2 linked regions of the Lonchura striata genome follow. The protein of the gene in region 1 purifies or fractionates together with the protein of each later gene. This does not show direct contact. Links are inferred from orthologs where the notes say so. Each region holds a gene or a part of one and is shown in the gene's direction. Other genes may lie near its edges. The genes, in order: PSMB3 and PSME4.

What was found.
Region 2: the proteins of PSMB3 (region 1) and PSME4 purify together in Homo sapiens (affinity purification with mass spectrometry; 3 studies listed by BioGRID and IntAct, counting the BioPlex papers as one, with this or other methods). This does not show direct contact. The link is inferred for Lonchura striata from reciprocal best matches to the Homo sapiens genes PSMB3 and PSME4.

Annotation. Positions count from the first base shown.
Region 1 is NC_134627.1:7,421,445-7,433,859, reverse strand, and holds the start of PSMB3 (proteasome subunit beta type-3), read left to right. Parts: upstream 1-6,414; 5' UTR 6,415-6,571; coding exon 6,572-6,574; intron 6,575-7,158; coding exon 7,159-7,343; intron 7,344-9,335; coding exon 9,336-9,443; intron 9,444-10,683; coding exon 10,684-10,861; intron 10,862-12,415. UniProt on the Homo sapiens protein: Non-catalytic component of the 20S core proteasome complex involved in the proteolytic degradation of most intracellular proteins. This complex plays numerous essential roles within the cell by associating with different regulatory particles.
Region 2 is NC_134605.1:27,567,361-27,579,775, forward strand, and holds the start of PSME4 (proteasome activator complex subunit 4), read left to right. Parts: upstream 1-4,521; 5' UTR 4,522-4,585; coding exon 4,586-4,758; intron 4,759-10,364; coding exon 10,365-10,505; intron 10,506-10,992; coding exon 10,993-11,109; intron 11,110-12,415. UniProt on the Homo sapiens protein: Associated component of the proteasome that specifically recognizes acetylated histones and promotes ATP- and ubiquitin-independent degradation of core histones during spermatogenesis and DNA damage response.

The DNA of each region.
Region 1 (12,415 bases):
GTTGGGGTGCCCGGTTGGGGTGCCCGGTTGGGGTGCCCGGTTGGAGAGCCCGGTTGGGGTGCCCGGTTGTGGTGCCCGGTTGGGATGCCCGGTTGGGGAGCCCGGTTGGGGTGCCCGGTTGGGGTGCCCGGTTGGGGTGCCCGGTTGGGGTGCCCGGTTGGAGAGCCCGGTTGGGGTGCCCGGTTGTGATGCCCGGTTGGGGTGCCCGGTTGGGGTGCCCGGTTGTGGTGCCCGGTTGGGGTGCCCGGTTGCTCCCCCCGGCCGCTCCCGCCGCGATGGGACCGGGGGGGGGGGATGTGGGTGGCCCCGGTAGCCCCGGTGGGGCGTCCCCTCTGTACTCGGCACCGGCTGTCTCCGCCCGCCCCGGGGATGGGGTATGGGGGTCCCGGTCCCGGTGCCGCCGTGCCGGGCGCGGTGCGGGGGTGGCGGCGGAGCCCCCCCGGTGCTGCCGGTGCGGTCACGGGGAGGGGTCCCGGGGCACCGAGCGGGTCTGGGGCGGCGGAGCCCTCCCGGTTCCGCCGGTGCGATCCCGGGGCACCTCCCGGTGCTGCCGGTGCGGTCCCGGGGACGGGTCCCGGGGAGGGATCCCGGTGCCCCTCCCGGTTCCGCCGGTGTGGTCCCGGGGAGGGGTCCCGGTGCCCCTCCCGGTTCCGCCGGTGTGGTCCCGGTGCCCCTCCCGGTTTCGCCGGTGCGATCCCGGGGAGGGATCCCGGGGAGGGGTCCCGGGGAGGGGTCCCGGAGCATCTCCCGGTTCCGCCGGTGTGGTCCCGGTGCCCCTCCCGGTTCCTCCGGTGCGATCCCGGGGAGGGATCCCGGGGAGGGGTCCCGGTGCCCCTCCCGGTTCCGCCGGTGCGGCCATCGCCATCTTTGGGGGGGCACCGGGGCCCGGTCCCTACCTGGTGGCGGCGGCGGCGGCGGCCCCGGGGCCGCCCCTCCGCTCCCGCGGCTCCGCTCGGCTCGGGCGGCGCTGCGGCCCTTTCTTATTTTCTTTATTTTTTTATTTTTTAATTTTTTTTATTTTTTTCCCCTCTCTCGCTTTTTTATTTTTTTTCCCTCCCTCTTTTTTATTTTTTTTTCTCCTTCCTCTTTTTTTTTTTTTATTTTTTCCCCTCTTTTTTTTTCCTCTTTTTCTTTTTTTTATTTTTATTTTTTAATTATTTTTTTTCCCACCTCCAAGCCCCGCCCGCCTCACGTGACCTCGTTTTTTTGGGGGGCTGCGGAGGAGGAGCCGAAATTTGGGGACCCCCCCCCAAACCCCCGGACCCCAAAGACCGCCGAGACCGCAGCCCCAAAATCCGCTGGAATAGCCCCAAAATTCGGTGCGCTCCCCCCACCCCACCCCAGGGTTTGGCCCCAAATTTTGACCCGGGACCGGGAAAAGGAGGGGAAAAGGAAGAAAAAAAAATAATTTTAAAAATAGAGGGAATTTCCAGCGGGAAAATGGGAAATTGGAGCGGGAGGGAAGGAAAAAATGAAATGAAATGAAATGAAATGAAATGAAATGAAATGAAATGAAATGAAATGAAATGAAATAAATAATAAAATAAAATAAAGTAAAATAAAATAAAATAAAAATAATAAAATAAAATAAAAATAATAAAATAAAATAAAAATAATAAAATAAAATAAAATAAAATAAAAATAATAAAATAAAATAAAATAAAATAAAATAAAATAAAATCAAATAAAATAAAATGGAAAAGCCGGGAAGGAAATTAAGGAGGGGGAGAGGAGGAGGAGCGGGAGGGGCTGAGGGAGCGCGGCTCCCGCATTCCCGGGATTACCGGCGGCTCCCGGGGATTCCCGGTGAGCCGCTGTCCGTGCCGCTGTCTCGGTTCCCGGGATGCCGGGGCTGGTTGTCCCATTCCCGGTGTCCCTGTCCCGTTCCCATTCCCGGTCTGCTGGTCCCGTTCCCGGTGTCCCGTTCCCGGTATCCTGTCCCTGTATCCGCTTCCCGGTGTCCCAGTTCCATTCCTGGTACCATGTTCCCATTCCCGGTCTCCCATTCCCGGTGTCCCGTTCCTGCTGTTCCGGTATTCCCGCTGTCCCATTCCCGTTCCCGGTCTCCCATTCTGGTGTCCCATTCCCATTCCCGGTATTCCCAGTGTCCTGTTCCCAGTATTCCAGTATTCCCACTGTCCCATTCCCATTCCCGGTATTCCCAGTGTCCTGTTCCCAGTATTCCCAGTATTCCCACTGTCCCATTCCCGTTCCCGTTCCCGGTATTCCCAGTGCCCTGTTCCCAGTATTCCCAGTATTCCCACTGTCCCGTTCCCGTTCCCGGTATTCCCAGTGCCCTGTTCCCAGTATTCCCAGTATTCCCACTGTCCCATTCCCGTTCCCGGTATTCCCAGTGCCCTGTTCCCAGTATTCCCAGTATTCCCACTGTCCCGTTCCTGTTCCCGGTATTCCCAGTGCCCTGTTCCCGGTATTCCCATGTTCCCATTCCCACTCCCATTCCCGCTGTCCCATTCCCATTTTGGCTGTCCCATTCCCTTCCCGTTCCCAGTATTCCTGCTCCCGTTCCCATTCCCGGTATTCCCGGTATTCCCAATGTCCCATTCCCATTCCCATTCCTGTTCCCACTGCCTGTATTCCTGTTCCTGCTCCCGGTATTCCAGTTCCTGGTATTTCCATTCCCACTGTCCCGTTCCCGTTCCCAGTATTCCCAGTATTCCCAGTATTCCCAGTATTCCCGGTGTACCATTCCCATTCCCAGTATTTCCTGGATTCCCGCTGTCCCATTCCCATTCCTGCTCCCATTCCCAGTATTCCCATTCCCATTCCCACTGTCCCAGTTCCTGCTCCCATTCCCGGTATTCCTGGTGTCCCATTCCCGTTCCCTGTATTCCCGTTCCCGTTATTCCCTGTATTCCCGCTGTCCTGTTCCCATTCCCAGTCCCGTTCCCATTCCCGGTATTCCCAGTGTCCCATTCCCGGTATTCCCGCTCCCTGTATTCCCGGTATTCCCCCTGTCCCACTCCCTGTATTCCCGGTATTCCCGCTCCCTGTATTCCCGGTATTCCCAGCATTCCCGGTATTCCAGTATTCCCGCTGTCCCGTTCACGGCATTCCTGGCATTCCCGGGATTCCCGGGATTCCCCGTATTCCCGTTCCTGGCATTCCTGCTGTCCCATTTGAGGCATTCCCGGTATTCCCGTTGCCGGTATTCCCGGTATTCCTGACATTCCCAGTGTTCCCGCTCCCGGTATTCCGGAATTCCCGGTATTCCCCTTGTCCCGCTCCCTGTATTCCCGGTATTCCCGGCATTCCGGTATTCCCGGCATTCCCAGTATTCCCGCTGTCCCGCTCCCTATATTCCCGGTATTCCCGGCATTCCCGCTGTCCCGCTCCCGGTATTCCCGGTGTTCCCGGTATTCCCGGCATTCCCGCTGTCCCGCTCCCGGTATTCCCAGTATTCCCGGCATTCCCGCTGTCCCGCTCCCGGTATTCCCGGTGTTCCCGGTATTCCCGGCATTCCCGCTGTCCCGCTCCCGGTATTCCCGGTATTCCCGGCATTCCCGCTGTCCCGCTCCCGGTATTCCCGGTGTTCCCGGTATTCCCGGCATTCCCGCTGTCCCGCTCCCGGTATTCCCGGTGTTCCCGCTGTCCCGCCATCCCGGTATTCCCGGTGTTCCCGGTATTCCCGGCATTCCCGCTGTCCCGCTCCCGGTATTCCCGGTGTTCCCGGTATTCCCGCTGTCCCGCCATCCCGGTATTCCCGGTGTTCCCGGTATTCCCGGCATTCCCGCTGTCCCGCTCCCGGTATTCCCGGTATTCCCGGCATTCCGGTGTGCCCGGCATTCCCGCCATCCCGGTGTTCCCGCCATCCCGGTATTCCCGGTATTCCCGCCATCCCGGCATTCCCGCCATCCCGGTATTCCCGCCATGCCGGTATTCCCGGCGTTCCCGCCATTCCCGGTATCCCGGTATTCCGGCGCCGAGCGTTGGCGGCGCGGCGGGCGGGCAGCGCGGTCTCTGTGGCGCAATCGGTCAGCGCGTTCGGCTGTTAACCGAAAGGTTGGTGGTTCGAGCCCACCCAGGGACGGCCGCTCCTTTTCCCGCTTTTCCCGGCGCTTTTCCCGGCGCTTTTCCCGGCGCCGCCACGGGCGGAACCGGGCACGGAGAACATTCCGGGACACCGGAGCCGCTCCCGGTGCTCCCGGCCGGGCGGAGAAGCCGCTCCCGGTGTGCCCCGGGCCGTCCCCGGGGCTCTGCCGGGAGGGGATTGGATATCCCGGATTCCATCCCGATCCCGGATTCCATCCCGATCCCTGATTCCATCCCGATCCCGGATTCCTGATTCCATCCCGATCCCGGATTCCATCCCAATCCCGAATTCCTGATTCCATCCCGATCCCGGATTCCATCCCAATCCCGAATTCCTGATTCCATCCCGATCCCTGATTCCATCCCAATCCCGATTCCTGATTCTATCCCGTTCCCGGATTCCATCCCAATCCCGAATTCCTGATTCCATCCCGAATTCCTGATTCCATCCCAATCCCACTTTGTCCATCTCAGTTCCTGATTCCATCCCAATCCCTGTTTCCATCCCCATCCCTGATTCCATCCAAATCCCAAATTACTGTTTCCATCCTGATTCCCGATTCCATCCCAAATTCTGATTCCATCCCAATCCCAAATTCCTGTTTCCATCCCAATTCCTGTTTTTCCATCCCAATTCCTGTTTTTCCATCCCAATTCCTGTTTTTCCATCCCAATCCCTGATTCCATCCCAATCCCTGATTCCATCCCAATCCCGAATTCCTGTTTCCATCCGAATTCCTGTTTCCATCCGAATTCCTGTTTCCATCCCAATATCAAATTCCTGTTTCCATCCCGATTCCTGATTCCATCCCGATTCCTGGTTTTCCATCCCAATTCCTGGTTTTCCATCCCAATCCCTGATTCCATCCCAGTTCCTGATTACATCCCAATCCCGAATCCCTGTTTCCATCCCAATTCCAATTCTGGTTTCCATCCCAATTCCTCTTTCCGTCCCAATCCCAAATTCTTGTTTCCATCCCGATTCCCGTTTTTCCACCCCAATCCCGAATTTCTCCCCAAAGTGAAGCTGAAGGATCTCCCAGGGCGAGCGTCCCCCCTCAAATGCCAGAATTCCCAAAATGCTGGAATTCCCGAAATGCCGGAATTCCCGAAATGCCGGAATTCCCGAAATGCCGGAATTCCCGTTTCAACCCGGGGATCAATCCCGGGGTTTCAAATGGAAAACCCCTCAAAAATGCAGCTTAAAAAATGGGATTTAAAAATGGGAATTTAAAAATTGGGATTTAAAATTGGGATTTAAAATTGGGATTTAAAATTGGGATTTAAAATTGGGATTTAAATTGGGATTTAGCAGCAGAGCTAACAGATCCAGACAGATCCAGCTGTTCCCATTTTCCAGCCATTCCCATTTCCAGCTGTTCCCAATTACAGCTGTTCTCCCATTTTCCCAACCCATTCCCAATCCCCACCGTTCCAATTTCCAGCTGTTTCCCCAATTCCAGCTGTTCCCAATTCCAGCTGTTCTCATTTTCCCACCCATTCCCAATTCCGGCTGTTCCCAATCCCAGCCATTCCAGTTTCCACCCGTTCCAAATCCCACCCATTCCCATTTTCCCACCCATTTCCATTTCCAGCTGTTTCCCCAATTCCCAGCCGTTCCCATTTCCAGCTGTTTCCCCAATTCCAGCTGTTCCCATTTCCAGCTGTTTCCCTAATTCTACCCATTTCCATTTCCAGCTGTTTCCCCAATTCCAGCCGTTCCCAATTCCAGCTGTTTCCCCATTTCCAGCTGTTTCCCCAATTCCAGCTGTTTCCATTTCCAGCTGTTTCCCCATTTCCAGCTGTTTCCCCAATTCCAGCTGTTTCCATTTCCAGCTGTTTCCCCATTCCCAGCCGTTCCCATTTCCCCACCCGTTCCCAGCTCCCGCCGTTCCACTTTCCGGCTGTTCCATTTTCCCGCCCATTCCCATTTTCAGCCGTTCCACTTTCCGGCCTTTCCCATTTCCCAGCCGCGGCCCCGCCCCCTCGTCGCTCCCGTCGTGCCTCGCGCGCTCGCTGTGATCGCCATTTCCGCCCCGCCCACCCTCCCCCGCCTCAGCCAATCACCAGCGCCCGTCCCGCCCACCCTCCCCCGCCTCAGCCAATCACCTGCGCGCGCCCCGGGCGGCGGCGGCGACCAATGGGAAGCGCCAAAGTGAGAGCGGCGGTCACAGCGACCAATGGGAAGCATCGCCGTGAGCGAGATGGCGGCAGCCAATAGGAAGCGGTGAGGGCGGGAGTGGCGTAGAATTGACCAATGAAAAGCGGCGGGGGCGGGAGTGGCAGTGGGATTGACCAATGGGAAGCGCCAGAGGCGGGAGTGGCAGTGGGATTGACCAATGGGAAGCGGCGGGGGGCGGGAGCGGCGGCGGCGTGGCGGGGCCGGAGCGGGACCGGGAGCGGTGACACAGCGGGGACGGGACCGGGACAGAACCGGGGCACAACCGGGACAAAACCGGGACAGAACCGGGGCAGAACCGGCACCCAGCGGGGACTGAGGCGTCACCGAGCAGCCGCAGCCATGGTGAGACCCGCGGCGGCGCCTCCGGTACCGGGAGTGTCCCGGGACATGAACCGGGGATGTCCCGGGGATGAATCCCGGTACCGGGGCTGGCCCAGGACGTGAATCCCGGTACTGGGGATGCCCCGGGGATGAATCCCGGTCCCGGGGCTGGCCCGGGAAATCAATCCCGGTGCCGGGGCTGTCCCGGTGATGGTTCCCGGTGGTGCCGGGGTTGCCCCGGTGGTCCCGGTGCTGACCCGGTGCCGCCGGTGCTGACCCGGTGCAGTCCCGATGGGGCTGGGGCTGTCCCGGTGCTGTCCCGGTGTTGACCCGGTGCCGCCGGTGCTGACCCGGTGGTGCTGAGGCTGACCCGGTGATCCCGGTGCTGACCCGGTGCTGACCCGGTGGTGCCGAGGCTGACCCGGTGATCCCGGTGCTGACCCGGTGCCGCCGGTTCTGACCCGGTGCTGTCCCGGGGCTGTCCCGTTTCTGACCCGGTGGTCCCGGTGCCGGTTCTGTCCCAGTGCCGGTGGTCCCGGTGCCGGTTCTGTCCCGGTTCTGTCCCGGTTCTGACCCGGTTCTGACCCGGTACCGGCTCCCCGCAGTCCATCCTGGCGTACAACGGCGGCGCCGTGCTGGCCATGCGGGGCCGGGGCTGCGTCGCCGTCGCCGCCGACCGGCGCTTCGGGATCCAGGCGCAGACCGTGAGCACCGACTGCCGCCGGATCTTCCCCATGGGCCCGCGGCTGCTGCTCGGCCTGGCGGGGCTGGCCACCGACGTGCAGAGCGTGTGAGCACCGGGAACGGGAACCGGGAACGGGAATGGGAATGGGAATGGGAACGGGAACGGGGAACGGGAACGGGAATGGGAACGGGAACGGGGAACGGGAACGGGAACCGGGAACCGGGAATGGGAACCGGGAATGGGAACGGGGAACCGGGAATGGGAACGGGAACCGGGAACGGGGAACCGGGGCTGGCCACGGACGTGCAGAGCGTGTGAGCACCGGGAACGGGAACGGGAACGGGAACGGGGAATGGGAATGGGAACGGGAACCGGGGCTGGCCACCGACGTGCAGAGCGTGTGAGCACCGGGAACGGGAACCGGGAACGGGAACGGGAATGGGAACGGGAACGGGAACGGGAACGGGAACGGGAATGGGAATGGGAACGGGAACCGGGGCTGGCCACCGACGTGCAGAGCGTGTGAGCACCGGGAACGGGAACCGGGAACGGGAACGGGAACTGGGAATGGGAACGGGGAACGGGAACCGGGGCTGGCCACCGACGTGCAGAGCGTGTGAGCACCGGGAACGGGAACGGGAACGGGAACGGGAACAGGAATGGGAACGGGAACGGGGAACGGGAACCGGGCAGGGGGATCGGGAACCGGGGCTGGCCACGGATGTGCAGAGCGTGTGAGCACCGGGAACCGGAACGGGAATGGGAACGGGAACGGGGAATGGGGAACGGGAACGGGGAACGGGAATGGGGAATGGGAACGGGGAATGGGAACTGGGAACGGGGAACCGGGAATGGGGAACGGGAACGGGGAACCGGGAATGGGGAACGGGAACGGGGAACCGGGGCTGGCCACGGACGTGCAGAGCGTGTGAGCACTGGGAACGGGAACGGGAACGGGAACGGGAACGGGAATGGGAACGGGAACGGGGAACGGGAACGGGGAATGGGAACCGGGAACGGGGAACAGGAACGGGGAATGGGAACGGGAACAGGGAATGGGAACGGGAACCGGGGCTGGCCACCGACGTGCAGAGCGTGTGAGCACCGGGAACGGGAACGGGAACAGGGAATGGGAACGGGAATGGGAATGGGAACGGGAACGGGGAACGGGAACGGGAACCGGGAACAGGGAACGGGAACGGGAACTGGGAACGGGGAACGGGAACCGGGAATGGGAACGGGAACGGGGAACGGGAACGGGAACGGGAACCGGGAACAGGGAACGGGAACGGGAACTGGGAACGGGGAACGGGAACCGGGAACGGGAACTGGGAACCGGGAACGGGAACCGGGAACGGGAACAGGGAATGGGAACGGGAACCGGGGCTGGCCACCGACGTGCAGAGCGTGTGAGCACCGGGAACGGGAATGGGAATGGGAACGGGGAATGGGAACGGGAACGGGAATGGGAACGGGGAATGGGAACGGGAACGGGAACCAGGAACCGGGAACGGGAACGGGGAACGGGAATGGGAACGGGAACCGGGAATGGGGAACGGGGAATGGGGAATGGGGAACGGGAACGGGGACCGGGAATGGGAACGGGAACGGGAACGGGAACTGGAAACGGGAATGGGAACGGGGAACGGGAACGGGGACCGGGGAACCAGGGCTGGCCATGGACGTGCAGAGCGTGTGAGCACCGGGAATGGGAACGGGAACCGGGAACGGGAACGGGAACCGGGCGGGGCTGCAGGGCTGGGAAATCCCTGCTAAAACCCAACTTTAACTCCTAAAACCCGACTGTCAAGCCCTAAAATTCAATTTTAACCCCTAAAATTCACTTTTCCCTCCTAAAAATCCAACTTTAACTCCTAAAACCCGACTTTTAACCCCTAAAATTCAACTTTCAACCCCTAAAATTCAACTTTTTACCCCTAAAATTCAACTTTCAACCCCTAAAATTCAATTTTAACCCCTAAAATTCAACTTTCAACCCCTAAAATTCAACTTTTAACCCCTAAAATTCCCCTTCCCCTGCTAAATCCCGACATTAACTCCCAAAATTCCCTTTTCCCCCCGAATTTGGCTCCCCAGGGCGCAGCGGCTGAAGTTCCGGCTGAACCTCTACGAGCTGAAGGAGGGGAGGCAGATCAAGCCCCAGACCTTCATGAGCATGGTGTCCAACCTGCTCTACGAGAGGAGGTGAGGCTGAGAGCGGGGCGAAAACTGCCCAAAAAATGCCAAAAAATGCAAAAATCGGGAAAAAACGGGAAAAGCTGCTGGAAAACGTAAAAAACGGGGGAAAAAACGGGGAAAAAAACGGGGAAATGGCAAAAAAAAAATCGAAGAAATGGAAAAAAGCTGGGGGAAAAAAACGGGGGGAAATGGTAAAAAAGATCTGGAAAAAAGTGGGGAAAAAACTGGGGAAAATGGCAAAAAAAAAAAAAATCGGAAAAATGGAAAAAACTGGGGAAAAAATTGGGGAAAATGGTAAAAAAAAAATGCAAAAAACTGGGAAAAAAAGGGAAAAAACTGCAGGAAAATGCAAAAAACTGGGAAAAAACCTGAGGAAAAGTGTCAGGGATGGGATCCCCGTGACCCCAGGAGGACTGGGAGGTCCCCGTGACCCCAGGGATGACCCCAGGGATGACCCCTGACCCCAGGGATGACCCCTGACCCCAGGGATGACCCCAGGGATGACCCCTGACCCCAGGGATGACCCCGTAAGGACACAAGTGATCCCTGTGACCCGAGGAGGACAGGGAGATCTCCCTGACCCCAGGGATGACCCCTGACCCCAGGGATGACCCCAGGGATGACCCCGGAAGGACAGGGATGGTCCCCGTGACCCCAGGGATGGTCCCCGTGACCCCAGGGGTGGTCCCTGTGACCCCAGGGGTGGTCCCTGTGACCTCAGGGATGACCCCTGACCCCAGGGATGGTCCCCGTGACCCCAGGGATGACCCCAGGAGGACAGGAACCATCCCTGTGACCCGAGGAGGACAGGGAGGTCCCCGTGACCCCAGGGATGGTTCCCGTGACCCTAGGGATGACCCCAGAGGGACAGGGTGGTCCCTGTGACCCCAGGGATGGTCCCGGTGACCCCAGGGATGACCCCAGAAGGACAGGGATGGTCCCCCTGACCCCAGGGATGACCCCAGGAGGACAGGGACGGTCCCTGTGACCCGAGGAGGACAGGGAGGTCCCTGTGACCCCAGGGATGGTCCCCGTGACCCCAGGGATGGTCCCTGTGACCCGAGGAGGACAGGGACCATCCCTGTGACCCGAGGAGGACAGGGTGGTCCCGGGGATGCCCCCTGACCCCCGGATGCCCCCGGGATGCCCCCGGGATGCCCCCTGACCCCCGGATGCCCCCTGACCCCCGGATGCCCCCTGACCCCCGGATGCCCCCTGACCCCCGGGATGCCCCCGGCCGTGCCAGGTTCGGGCCGTACTACGCGGAGCCGGTGATCGCGGGGCTGGACCCGCTGAGCCTGGAGCCCTTCATCTGCTCGCTGGACCTCATCGGCTGCCCCATGGTCACCCAGGACTTCGTGCTCAGCGGCACCTGCTCCGAGCAGATGTACGGCATGTGCGAGTCCCTCTGGGAGCCCGACATGGTCAGTGACACCGGGGACACCTGGGGGGACATGGGGACACCTGGGGACACCTGGGGACATGTGGGGACACATGGGGGGACAGCTGGGACAGGCTGGGACAGCCTGGAGACACCTGCTCCGAGCAGATGTACGGCATGTGCAAGTCCCTCTGGGAGCCCGACATGGTCAGTGACACTGGGGACACCTGGGGGGACATGGGGACACCTGGGGACACCTGGGGACACCTGGGGACACCTGGGGGAACATGGGGACACCTGGGGACACCTGGGGACACCTGGGGGAACATGGGGACACCTGGGGACACACCTGGGACAGCTGCTCCGAGCAGATGTACGGCATGTGCGAGTCCCTCTGGGAGCCCGACATGGTCAGTGACCCTGGGGACACCTGGGGGGACATGGGGACATGTGGGGACACATGGGGGGACAGCCTGGGACAGCTGGGACAGGCTGGGGACACACCTGGGACACCTGGGGACACGTGGGGACACACCTGGGACACCTGCTCCGAGCAGATGTACGGCATGTGCGAGTCCCTCTGGGAGCCCAACATGGTCAGTGACCCCGGGGACATCTGGGGGGACATGGGGGGACACCTGGGGACACCTGGGGACACACCTGGGACACCTGGGGACACGTGGGGACACACCTGGGACACCTGCTCCGAGCAGATGTACGGCATGTGCGAGTCCCTCTGGGAGCCCGACATGGTCAGTGACACTGGGGACATGTGGGGACATGTGGGGACACATGGGGACACCTGGGGACACCTGGGGACACCTGGGGGAACATGGGGACACCTGGGGACACCTGGGGACACCTGGGGGAACATGGGGACACCTGGGGACACACCTGGGACAGCTGCTCCGAGCAGATGTACGGCATGTGCGAGTCCCTCTGGGAGCCCGACATGGTCAGTGACCCTGGGGACACCTGGGGGGACATGGGGACATGTGGGGACACATGGGGGGACAGCCTGGGACAGCTGGGACAGGCTGGGGACACACCTGGGACACCTGGGGACACGTGGGGACACACCTGGGACACCTGCTCCGAGCAGATGTACGGCATGTGCGAGTCCCTCTGGGAGCCCAACATGGTCAGTGACCCCGGGGACATCTGGGGGGACATGGGGGGACACCTGGGGACACCTGGGGACACACCTGGGACACCTGGGGACACGTGGGGACACACCTGGGACACCTGCTCCGAGCAGATGTACGGCATGTGCGAGTCCCTCTGGGAGCCCGACATGGTCAGTGACACTGGGGACATGTGGGGACATGTGGGGACACATGGGGACACCTGGGGACACATTGAGGTAGATGAGGGGACAGCCTGGGGGACAGCCAGGGTCACCTGGGGTCATCTGGGATAGCCTGGGGACACCTGGAGACACCTGGGGACAGATGGGATAGCCTGGGGACATGTGGGGGGACAGCTGGGACAGGCTGGGGACACATGAGGGGACACACCTGGGACAGGGTGGGGTCATCTGGAATAGCCTGGGGACACCCAGAGACACCTGGGGACACCTGGGATGGCCTGGGGACAG
Region 2 (12,415 bases), on another chromosome or scaffold:
TTTTGATTTATCCTGCATTGGGAAATCAGACCTTTATTTTTTTTTAATTTTTCATCTTGACAAGGAATAGACAAACCAGAGAACTGCAGATGAAGCTGCAACAAATGCACTTGCATTTGTATTATTGTTTAAAACCAATAAATATGATCATCCACCCAGGCACTTGGGGTAAGGTGTGTCACAATCCTCTCTGGCAAACACAGGGCAGCTGCATGAGATACCCAAGTCCATAATGAGCAGTTTCTATGAGAGTGGCTGCAGGTTGCCAAGGGACTGTGTTTCCTTGATTTCCGAGAACAGCAGAATCCCTAGGAATAACCTTTGTGAGTTCACTGTCATCACATGCTCCTCTGAGGCTGGTTTCTGTTTGGCAGGAGAGTGAGACAGAAAAATCCACTTCAATGGCTCAAGAGGAACAGAAAAGTAACCCTAATGTCTCTTTCCCCAAAGTTGGCTGCATTTCTGTAATGTCCAAGAAATTATTATTTATTTCAAATAGCTGTGAGTAATTTGGAAAGAACCTCTTACAAAGAGGCTCAAGTCTATTGCTTTTTCTCCCTGCAGGCACAATCGTTTCCAGGGATATCTTTGGGAGTTTCAGACATGTAGAGGAAACAGCCTGTCACAAGCAGAATCTCTGCTGTGGATTTGGGACGTTCATGCTTTCCAAATCTTAGGCAATAAGGCACCAAAAGATAACAAATCCAGGGAGTGGAGAGGAAAAACACTTTTGCTATAAATTAATTTATTTCACCAAGGAGAATTGAGGTTCTGTTCTTGTACGTAGATTGTCCACTGTAAGCACAGTAACCCCTAAGTTCAGCTGGAAAAGAGCCCAAAAAATATCTTGTGAATGGATATAATTGAGCATGGATTTAATTCTCATAAACAGAACCACTGGCAATATAAAGTGAAGGATAACAATGCTGCACCTATTTGGTCAGGCTTGTCTACATAATAGAGTTTTAAAAATTATACAGGTGCCTACTTTAACCTCTTCACGAGGGCCTCTTATTTCTGCACAACAGAAATATTCCACTCACATTAGAACACACAGATCCAAACAGGCATTGCAGAAAAAGAATATTCAATGTATGTGTTGTAGGTGACACCAAACCCGCCTCCCCATCCAACTTGAAACATGTAATGGAGTATTTATATAGCCTTATTTTAGGGACCTAAATTAGTTCCTCTGAATCACACTTTAGAAGAACCTATTTTTGTCCCATACTACACAGGAAACTCTAAGTTCCTCATTCAGATGCTGTAATCACTCTTGCCCTCATCTCCCAAATAGACAAATTCTCTGTAAAATAGAAGTTTTATGTGACAGAGATGTTTCTGAGTTGCTTCTTTGGTACCTTTCAGCACCAGCTTAGTATGACTGACCAGTTTAGAAATATGGGGCTGAGGGGAAGTATCCTCATCAAAAAGCAGCTATTCTTTATTCCTATAGTGGCACTTTGTGAGATATGGGGGCATCATTGACTGGGACAGGTATGATACAGGTAATATGAAGCTCCTGTTGGATTGGCTATTCTTTTCCAAACAGTAAAATCATAAGAGTCGTTTAGGTTGGAAAGGAGCTTAAAGCCCACCCAGTTCCACCCCCTGCCATGGCTAGGGACACCTTCCACCATCCCAGGTTGCTCCAACCCTGTCCAGCCTGGCCTTGGATACTTCCAGGGATGGAGAAGCCACAGCTTCCCTATGCTAGGGCCTCCCCATCCTCACAGAGAAGAATTTCTTGTGTATATCTCATCTAAACCTATTCTCTTTCAGTTTGAAGCCATCTCCCCTTGTCCTGTCACTCCAGATCCTTGTGAAATGTCCCTCTCCATTTTTCTTGTAGGTTCCCTTCAGGTATTGGAAGGGCCTTGGGCACTGAAAAATGGGTAGAAATCTGTCACTGGAAAAGTATCCAACTTGGGTGGAAAAGGACAGATGGGTCACTAAGGAAAACATCTGTGCTAAGTAGTCCCTGGAGAGGTGAGGCAGCAGGAAGCAAGGCTGAGTGACAAGATTCCCAAATCCCTGTGCCAGTGCTGGTGCTGGCTGCCCTCAAGCATCACCCAACAAGGGAACATGTGGACAACCGCCAGCGTGACCCATGCCACTGTCAGCACTGGAAGTTTCTCATGAATGGGATGATTTTGTTTTTCTCACAACTACTCCACTTGGATTTATCAGCTCTCAGGAGGCAATGCCAAAACCAACAGGTGGCTGCCATATTTGGGTTGCTGGTAATTCATATTCCTCCTACTTAATAAAAGAGGAAGAAGCTGTTGATGTGAAGTGGCACAGACGGGTCCTGTGTTATGAAAGCCCCGTCCTTCATCAGCTGATTCGGGAACCAAATGTGCTTTCACACACTGCTGCAGCCAAAACATATTGCAAACTTGAACAACACATTTATTTTTGACTCACTTGGCAAAATGTATCTCTTTTTTTTTCTCTTTTTAAAGAGCAGAATGGTGGCATAGCAGGGAGGGGAAAGGATTAGGTTTTTTTAATAATTACTACATTTAATTAGTAAATGAATCAACATGCAGAAAATACATTCAAAAAGCAAGTACTACAAGTATGCTTACTACTGTTATTACTAATGGAGAAGAATCTCCTCTCCCCTTGTTTCAGACTCTGAAAACAGGAACGAAGAGATCAGATTAGTTAGTAGGATGACTGTCAGAGGTGCTGATGGCATAACTTGGCATGTTTTTCCCCAAAAAGGAGTGTTTAATCCTGGTGGAAGGCATTCATGTGTCTGAGGCCACAGCTGAGAAGGCAGCTTGTTGGCTTGGACAGAACAGGCTCCCTGAGGTCAGAGGCGTTAATTCACATGCCAAATATTCCAAAATGCCTGAAAAATCAAGACTTAGTTTTAACTTGGGTTAGAAAGGGCAGGAGTAATTTTTACAACATGGCTACAAAGCAACAGAATGCAGCTGGGATGCTCCTGATGTATCTGCCAACTTCCAATTTTATAAAACTGGGCTAGAATTTTGAATTTTTCTCCCTCCAAATCCAAACAAACTGCATGCTTCAAATTTGACAAACACTTTCCCACATTGGAAATGTCTGAACAAAACACCATTGTGAGTATCAAGAATTGCCTCTAAGTGACAGAAAGTAATTTTAGACTTTTCAATTTCAATGCACACATATTTTCACTTACCCTTTTCATTAACTATAGATATTGTTTTTTAATTACAGCTCTTGGGCCAATTTATCCTTGACTGAATTGCTGATAAAACTATTAATTTCATATGGTTTATTTCTGTTTTCACCAGAAAAATACTAAATCAAGATATACTTTATCCCCATAGAAGGCTGACCATGATCAAGTTTTCATTTTTAATTCAAGCCAGAAAGGGCAGAGATTCATCTATGAATTGTTTTGCCTCATGCAGTTATAAGGCAACACAAGCGTAAAGTCCCTTTGAAAGATGGCAACAAATTTAGTGAAGTTCAGCTATTTCGAAATAACGTAAAAGTTGTGCATGTGATCCACGAGATCATGTGATACAAAATCTTCTAGGAATTTCAGAAGAATGGGACACTAAACAAAATCCTGGCGCTCCCTTTATTAAAAATACTAGTCTAGGATGAGGAAAGTAAATGATGTAAATGCATTAGTCAGGAAGATGCCATGATGCCCTTGCCTGTCATACTTAGGTTTCCTGTGGCGTTTCTCCTCTCCCTGTCATGTTCCAGAATTTAGTTAGCATCTCTTTTTTTTTTTTTTTTTCATTTTAACCAGAGCTAGTTTGAGCATAAAGATAGAAAACAGGATTTGCCCTCGTCAGTAGCTCTAAATCTAATCAGTTTGCAGCTGTTGTATGGCCACGATGTAACTCTTGAGGGGAAATTCAATTATATTAGGACAGCTGGAGATAACAGCTATCAGTGCTGTTATCACATATCCCTCAGCAGTTTATCCCACACCCACGGCCCGCGGGCGAGCTCTTCGCTCCTGACTAGCGTTATTTCAAATAAGCCTCTTAGGCAGCCGCGCAATCTGCTATTAAACTCCGGGGCTAATTACAGCACTACCGAATCAATTAGGCTGGCAAAGACCTCGGAGATGACAGTCGAGTCCAGCCTATGGCCGGACAGACCCCGGCACTGAGTGTCCGGTCTGTCCCTGCACCTCTCCAGGGATGGGCACTGCCCCGTTACCTCCAGCGCCCGCCCCATCCCCACCTCACCCCGAGTGTTTTTGAGCGAGAACCAATGCTTGACTCCCTCCCGATGAGAGCAGCCGGCGGGTGAATGTTTTCACTCCGAATTACGCGTCCAGGTGGCGGCAGCTTTAGGAGAAGAGCTTTTCAGCAAACCGCAAAGGCGCAGAGCGCGGCCCCTGAACTCGGGCGGGCACCGTGACCTTTCCGCCCCTCCCCGCGGCGGTGCGCAAAGCACCGCCCCGGCCCAGCCCCGGCCCCGCGCCCCCGGCCCGGCCCCGCGCCCGCCGAGCGCCCGGAGCCGCCCCGGGCCCGCCTTCCGCCGGAAGTGAGCGGCGCAGAGCCGAGCGGGGCGGGCGGGGCGCGGCGGCCGCGGTCACCGGCCCTCCTCGGCCAGCGCCGACATGGCCCGGCCGCCGCAGAAGGAGATCGTCTACAACAAGCTGCTGCCCTATGGCGAGCGCCTGGAGGCAGAGGCCGCCCGCTTCCTGGAGCACATCAAGGGCAACCTGGCCCGCGCCGTGCAGCTGCAGGAGCTCTGGCCCGGCGGGCTCTTCTGGACCAGGAAGCTCTCGACGTGAGTGCCGGGGCGGGACGGGGAGCGGGGCCTCGGGCTGCGAGCGGCGCGTCAGTCCCGTCCCTTGCCTTGCCGAGCCCGGCCGAGCCGTGCCCGGCTCGCCGGGAGCGCCTCCCGCATAACGGAACCGCCGGCACCCGGCCGGGCCCCGCTCCGGCCGCTGCCCCGTCCCTGCCTGACACAGGGCCAGCACTGCCACCTCGGAAACGGGGACAAAGGTGGCTCCGGCCGCAAGAGCTCGCCTGCCGCCTCTGAAACTTCCGAATTCTACGACTTAAGCGCTTGTGCGTTTAGCTCGTGCTTTTGTTTTTAATACGTGTGTATTTTTTAATGCCTGTATGGCCACCTGTTTCACCTCTCCCCTTCTTAAGCAAGTTGTAGTTGATAAAATCGCCGTGTAACTTCTGCTATAGGGACACGGCGTCTTTCTCAAGACAGGCCGTTTGTTGGGTCAGTGCTGGCAGGATTAAACTGTGGCTTAATGCTGGGTAAACACCGCTGGTGCCCTTGATATCTTGGCTGAACTCTGGCGTGGGGTGGTTTGTGCTGATGTTGGCCGTGCTGTGTGTGCTGGCAAGGTTGTTCTTATACTGATGAACCCACGGTGCTTTCATAGATAGCACCGAGTACGACATAGGTTTCTTCTCGTGAATTTTACGAAGTACACTTGACCCTATTTTATTCGGGACACTCTGGCACTGTGTATGGCATCACATGACAGCGAGTCCTGTAGCTGCAATCAGTAAATTCTGTGGATGTTTATCACATTTGTTGCTGAATGCTGTGTGTGCTTTCACAAACAGCGTTTCCTGTGTGCCAGAAACAACAAAGTACATGTGCTTGAACCGTTTTGAAACACTTACTTAAAACTTCTCTCCTTACATAAGTATTTTTTTATAATATCATTTGAGAATTTAATAGACATTTGTTAGTTAAAGCCTGCTAAATTCAACTATATTGGAATGTAAGCGTCTTTCTGTTTCCCAAGAGGCAGTCTTAGATAGAATTACAGTGGTGGTTGCAAAATGACTCACATGTTTGTGTTATGTGACAGTTTGAACCTGCTTGGAGCCAGTTCAACACAGCTTCCCTTCCCACCCCCTAGCCATCTGCCTACTCATACTGGTTTTGATGGTACCTGTTGTCTATACCTGTGGTGGAACTTCCCTTTCCCATCGAGTTGAAATAAACTTAGGAGTCCCTGCTGTGAGAAAAATGAGCTTTAGCTAAACAGGCTGAATAGACACAGAAATTCATTCTAAATGTGCCTTAGAATCACCCTGTTACTCACTCTGTAAATGGCAATTGCTGTTACCACTTCAGGCTCCAGGGCAGTGAATTTGGCCTACTGCTGTGCTGCTTTATGAATCACAGAAAGGTCAGCAGGCTCCAATTTGTGGTTTTCCACCTACACTTTGAAGTTTGATTGAAGTTTGAATTCATTGTGAGTGTTTGCAGCTTGTCTGATGCCTGTTAGTACCAAGATTTTTCTTTGTGGCATTTTAGATAAAGGGAGGCTCTGAGTGTGTTTGGTGTGGGCAGGGGAGGAAACAGTGGGCTTGGTGTAAAAAAAATAAGCTGGTGTAGTTAATGTGAGAGATGTGCTGCTGCTCTGTTTGACTTGACAAAGTACTTATAGGGATAAAAGGCTGAGAGAATCCAGATTGTTCAGCCTGGAAAAGGGAAGGCCTGGGACAATCTAATTGTGGCCTTCCAGTACCTGAAGGGAGCAAACAAAAACATGGAGAGGTACTATTTGTACAGGCGTGGAGTGCCAGGGCAAGGGGGAATGGCTTCAAACAGCCGGAGGGCAGGGTTAGATGGGATATTGGCAAGGAATTCTTCCCTGTGAGGGTGAGGAGGCACAAGCTGTGCAGAGAAATTGTGGCTGCCCCTGGATCCCTTGAAGTGTACAAGACCAGGCCAGATGGGGCTTGGAGCACCCTGGGATAGTGGAAGTTGTCCCTTACCCATTGTAGGGTGTGGCACTGGATGGGCTTTAAGGTCCCTTCCCACCTAAACCATTCTGTCATTCTGTGAAATACAGTAGCAGAAGTTCAGGAATAGCTAAAACACTTCCAGCCTTGTGGTGTTCATGACAATAGAATCCAATTTTTACTGTCTCTCGATAGTCAGGGACTCATCTCCAAAGTGACTTGCTCTCTTTTTTCTCTCCTGAAAAAAAACTATAATTAATTAAGAGAAAATGCTCAGAATCTTCATAATGACTGCTTACATTTGTTGCTAATGTCTGAATTGCAAAGGCCAGAATTCTTGCAGTATTCTGTGTAACAATTTACGTATTTATTTATTGTACAGATAAAAATGTTAACGCAGGTATGTTTATATGCAAATGAGCAAAGCAAACATGGCATGCAGATTATATACCTGCATAGTTTAACCTCCTCAGCTTTTTACAACTCTGTGCCTCAGGAGAGAATGAAAGTGAAACTCAGATCTTTTATTGAAATAAAAAATTGAGTAGTCTTTCATGGTGACAGCTGAATCATGTAGTTTTTATACCCCCCACAGCTGGAACCATGACTTGGACATATTTATCTTCAGACCAGCTGTTTCAGCTGTCTGATGTCACTAACTGAGTAGGGAGGGAGAACAGAAAAGAGGCAGAATAGGAGTTTATCAGACATAATGTCTGTAAGCTGATTTGAATAATTCTTTTATGGGTCATTTTCAGTGGTGACACCTGGTTCTTTTGGGATGTGTGTGTGGACTGTGGTGAGAGAACTTCCTCTCCTTTTAGGAAAGTAACTTATGATTTGATGAGGCTTCTGAAGCAAGTAAAACTTGCCCCAAAGACTGGCAGTTAAATCTCTAATAATTGCTCCAAGATTCCTCCAGCTTTGTCTGGTAAAAGCTTGTAAAATGCTAGCCAGTTGTGAAAGCAGAAGAGTGAATTTCAGCTTGCCACAGTGTGTGTGGGGAAAGCAGGTTACATCAAAATAATTTGCTTAACTGGTCTTGCTCCATAATTTTTTATGGTCTTTATGTCAGCAGTATACGTTGTCTCAACTTCCCCCTCTTTCATGATTCACTGATTGTTCTAAAAATTAAAAAAAAAACACTAAACATAGTCAATAAGTGAACATATTAATATAATATGGACATTTCATGGTTACTCTGCAGCCAGGCAAACACACAAATACCTTTCTATGTTTTCTCCTCCAGCGGTCAGGGGTGTGGGAAGATGAAGGACTCAATTGTGTCCCTGATGGTGTTATTTTATGTGCTTGTCAGGTGTAGACTTATAAAGTGACATTCAACTGTCTTGCTGTAAGGTGTGGAAAAAACGCAGCTTAACTGTTTGGAAGGGGAATGACAGAACACAAAGTTAGTGAGGATGAATGTCTCCATGGGACCTTGCCAAGTATTTTAATCGCCATAGCCTAGAAGTCTTGTTTGACATCTTTCTCTCATCTTTATCAGGGAAACAGAAGCTTTCTTTGGCTGTGTGAGGGATGTGTGTGCTGTGTACATGTACATGTGATTTAAGCAGTCCTGCTGAGTATGATTCATTGCTTTTCACATCATTTGTCAAAAACTGAGCTTTAAACCAGTCATGATCCTGTTTTGTGTGCTAGGAAATGCAGATGGAGGGCCAGGAATTTAGGGGAATGGGCTGTTCAGCTTCTGAAGGAGAGGTAATTTTTAACTGTAGCAGAGCAGCCAACTTTCTAGGGCAGTTTAGGGTGGCCACATGATATGATAGTACACTTCCTAAAAATAGGCCTATTGTGCTTTTGGAGGGAGAGATTGGATTCCCAGCACTCTGAGACTAAGGAATTTGCTTTATGGTGTTGGGTTTTTTTTGTTGTTTTTTTTTTAATCTCCAGAAACCCTGTACTCTGTACAGAAAGGCTGGAGTTTGAAACAGAATTTTCATGCCTTAATAATGTTTTTCATATTATGTGGGTGTGTTTTAATTGTTGGATTTTTGACTTTTTTTCCTTATAGCTGAACAGTGAAGGACAATAGTTTTATCCTTTTTGCAGGTTAAGAACTCATATCATCTCAATGTAGTATTATCTGCTTTCAGAAGTTTCATCTTTTATTTTGTAATAATTTAGTTCTGCAATTATTTTTTTCCCCAGTAACCCAATTATCCTGAAAAGACACCATTTCTATGATGAACATTATCTGTCTGATTAGCCCCTGAACACCCTTCAGGGCTTATTAAGTTCTGCCTATATTCTTTTATTTTTATAATGGTGATATTTCATCCCTTCTGAAGGGATATTCTGAAAATTTTGCAGTTCCCCTCTGAAAAATTTTTCTTGTTTAATCTTGAGCAAAAGGCTGAGCACCCCATTCTAGGAGGATTTATTTTTTGACACTGCCTTAATGCTCATCTGGATTCATACAAATAATTGACCCCTTTCAGATCTGCCTCCCTCCTACATAAAGAAGCTGTAAAATATGGGAGCAATTTGGCATCAAGTCCTGATGCTTGGGTATAGTGACATCTTTGTGTTCCGCATGTTTCTGTGTACTTTACTCCTTTCTTAATTAAACAGCATTTTGTGTAGCAGAGCTGTTGTTAGCAAATGTCACGGAGACCTGCCAAACATTTTATTTTCAGTTATATATAGCAATACTGGCAGATAAATTTGATCTCTGTGTTTCTTTGTAGTTAAAACTTATTTTACAGGCTTCTGCAGTTTATTTTTTTTTTTTTTTAAATCATATGTGTTTCACCCATTTTTCTTTCCCTGAGGATTCTTTTTCATGTTTTTTTTAGGCATGTGAAAAGTGCTGGTGTTCAGCTCTTGGTGGTGTAATTCTGTAGGTAGGTAGTGTCTCTGGCCAATCCAGATTATTTAGGTTCCTGTGGTGGAAAAGCGGGTTATTCTGTATTTTGTTTGTTTCCTTCTGTGTTAAAAGTAAGTACAAGATGTTGGAATGAACATTTGTGAAAACACTGCCCATCAAAAGTAAACATCCCCCCCTTGAATTTGACAGGAAAAGGGAAGTGGAAAGCAGCTTTCTTATGCATATTTAAGAACAGTCAGAGCAGTAATAAAAAGGGAAGTTGCCTCCCAGTGAATTGTAATTTACAGCTGTGCCACACCTAAAATGCTCTGAAAGGACCTTATATAGGTTTTTCTGGTGCAGAATATCTTTCAAGACTTGAAATATGTTTCTTTTTTTCAATCTCAACTTAAAACCAGCAAACACTTCTTCTGGAATGAGTCTGATGGATCTACCCTTGGTGAAGACAGTGAGACACACCACTGGCAAAGCTCAGTGTCTAAATCAATTGTTCATCCTTGCTGGAAGCTGTTGGATTTGGGTTTGTCTTGATACTTTTTGGGTTGTTTTTTTAGCTTCTGGATTGTGTCCTGTCCATGAGGTTACAGTATTTGTAGAATCTTAGAGGTCTGTAAACTTTATTTGGTCATTCTTTTTCTTCCTATAATTGCAGTTGTAAATCTTCCTTTGGTGTGTACCTTCGGGTTCTTAGTTGTTGGGCTTGAGAACCAGGTTTAGTTTTGTTTCACTAAACAGCAAATCAGAGGGATTCTGGCTCAGGTCTTGGATAAATTGGATGTTTTAAAATATTGCTGACTCCCCTTGTGTTTGGTTTGCAGATACATCCGACTGTATGGGAGAAAATTCAGCAAGGAGGATCACGTGCTGTTTATCAAACTATTGTACGAGTTGGTGACAATTCCAAAGCTGGAGATCAGCATGATGCAAGGATTTGCACGCCTGCTGATCAACTTGTTAAAGTGAGTAGAGATTTCTGCTGACTGTGGAAACTTCTGTGTCAGAACAGTTGATCTCTTGCTCAATGTTGTACCTTTCATGTAACAGAGTTCTTACAGGTTACTTCACTTATCTGACCTCTGCTGGTGGTTAAAGGGTTCTCTTGTGCAAACACCTTCAAAGCTTTAGGAGTGGGACTGAAAGTGGAAGAATGCCAGGTTTCCCCATATCAGGAAAACCAAACAGTTCAGAGAGCCAAGAATTAAGGCTGAATCTCAGCTAGAGAGAAGATGAAAACTGGCTCACGACTTGATAATGTTCATTTCACTTAGTCAGGGAAAATCTTGACAGTGTCACTTGTGCTGAAGGCTGCCAGTGGCCAGCCTGGTACTGCCTGGCCTTCCTGCAGTTTGTGCCAAACTGGGAGCGGGGATGGGGGTATTCCCATGTGCTGCGTGTCCATGTCAGTGTTTTTAATTCCAAACTGCCTAGTGTTTTGTTTCCTATTAGGAAAAAGGAACTGCTTTCCAGGGATGATTTAGAGTTACCATGGCGACCACTCTATGAAATGCTGGAAAGGATATTATACTCCAAAACAGAACATCTGGGATTAAATTGGTTTCCCAAGTAAGTTCACATTTGAAAACATTTGATAGACCATTAGTACCTGCTTTACAGTACTTTGTAATGTGCTTTTAATATCGGGAATTTGATACATAGGAAATATTCTGTTTCTTTTTTCACAAGGCACCTTTCAATAATTGCATGCAGAGCTCCACTGAATCATGTATCTCCTTCTGCTTTGTGTTTGTCATGCTTTTTCTTTCTATATGAATGTGATTAATTTTTAAATACACTGCAACAGAGGTCTTGCTCAACTGATTTTAGGATGATAACCCACAGTTTAATAAATTTAGTATGAAATATTTAACAGTATTGTTGTGGTTTAACCCCAGCTAACAATGAAGCCTTGCATGCTGCCTTTCCTGGTGGGACTGGGGAGAGAACTGGAAGGGTAAAAGTGAGAAAATCTGTGGGTTGAGCTAAAGATGGGTAATAACGTGAAGGAAGTTAACTTACTCCAGCCAAAACCAGCACAGGTACTAAGTTAAATGTATGCTGTTCACTTCTATAAAACAGTAAAGTTGTGGGGGAAAAGATACAAACAGTACTGTCTGTCAGTATTTGTCATGTAATCATTCCCAGGATCTGGAATCCAGGTATAAATGAGTCTGCTCTCCAAGAAAAGTGAAATATTTTCTATAGGAAATACAGGTATTTATCAAAGTGATGCCATGATAGGGTGAAATAATTTTCTTTCTCCAGCTGAGAATTTTAGACATGTTCTGCTGATTTTAAAAATGAAAACTTGTTTTCTTTGCTTTCTCTGTGCTGTCAATCCCTCTGCATCTGTCAGATTTTCAGACTTAAAATTTTCATAATTATCCCAGTCAGAGAAGGTCCTGCTCTATAAATTACAAATTAGATAGGTCATGGATAATGCCTTATCTTTGTCTGAATTGAAACTTAATGTCAAGAAATGCGGGTGAAAGTGCTTCATTTGCTTTAAAAAAAATAGTTTTCTGAATGAAACTGAAACACTGCCACTGATTCCTGAGGGGAAGATCCTGTTGTTGATAAGGAACATGAAGAGGAAATATGTGGAGCATTTCAGGCTGAATTTCTCTTGTGGCTGTGTATCTGAAAAAAATCAGTTTGCTAAATTGAATTATTTCGATAACTGTAGGAAAAATGTGAAAGAGCAGAGCCTTCCTTGGTTTATTTTATTTTTTCATTTTTGTACCTGCATGCCTTGCTCTGCGGGGGTGGTGTTGCATGGCTGCTCACTGTGTAAGGGGGAAGGAACTTTGCCAGGAGGATAAAGGAGTTTCAGAAGGAAGGAAGATTTCTGTTGTGATGATCTGACTGAAGC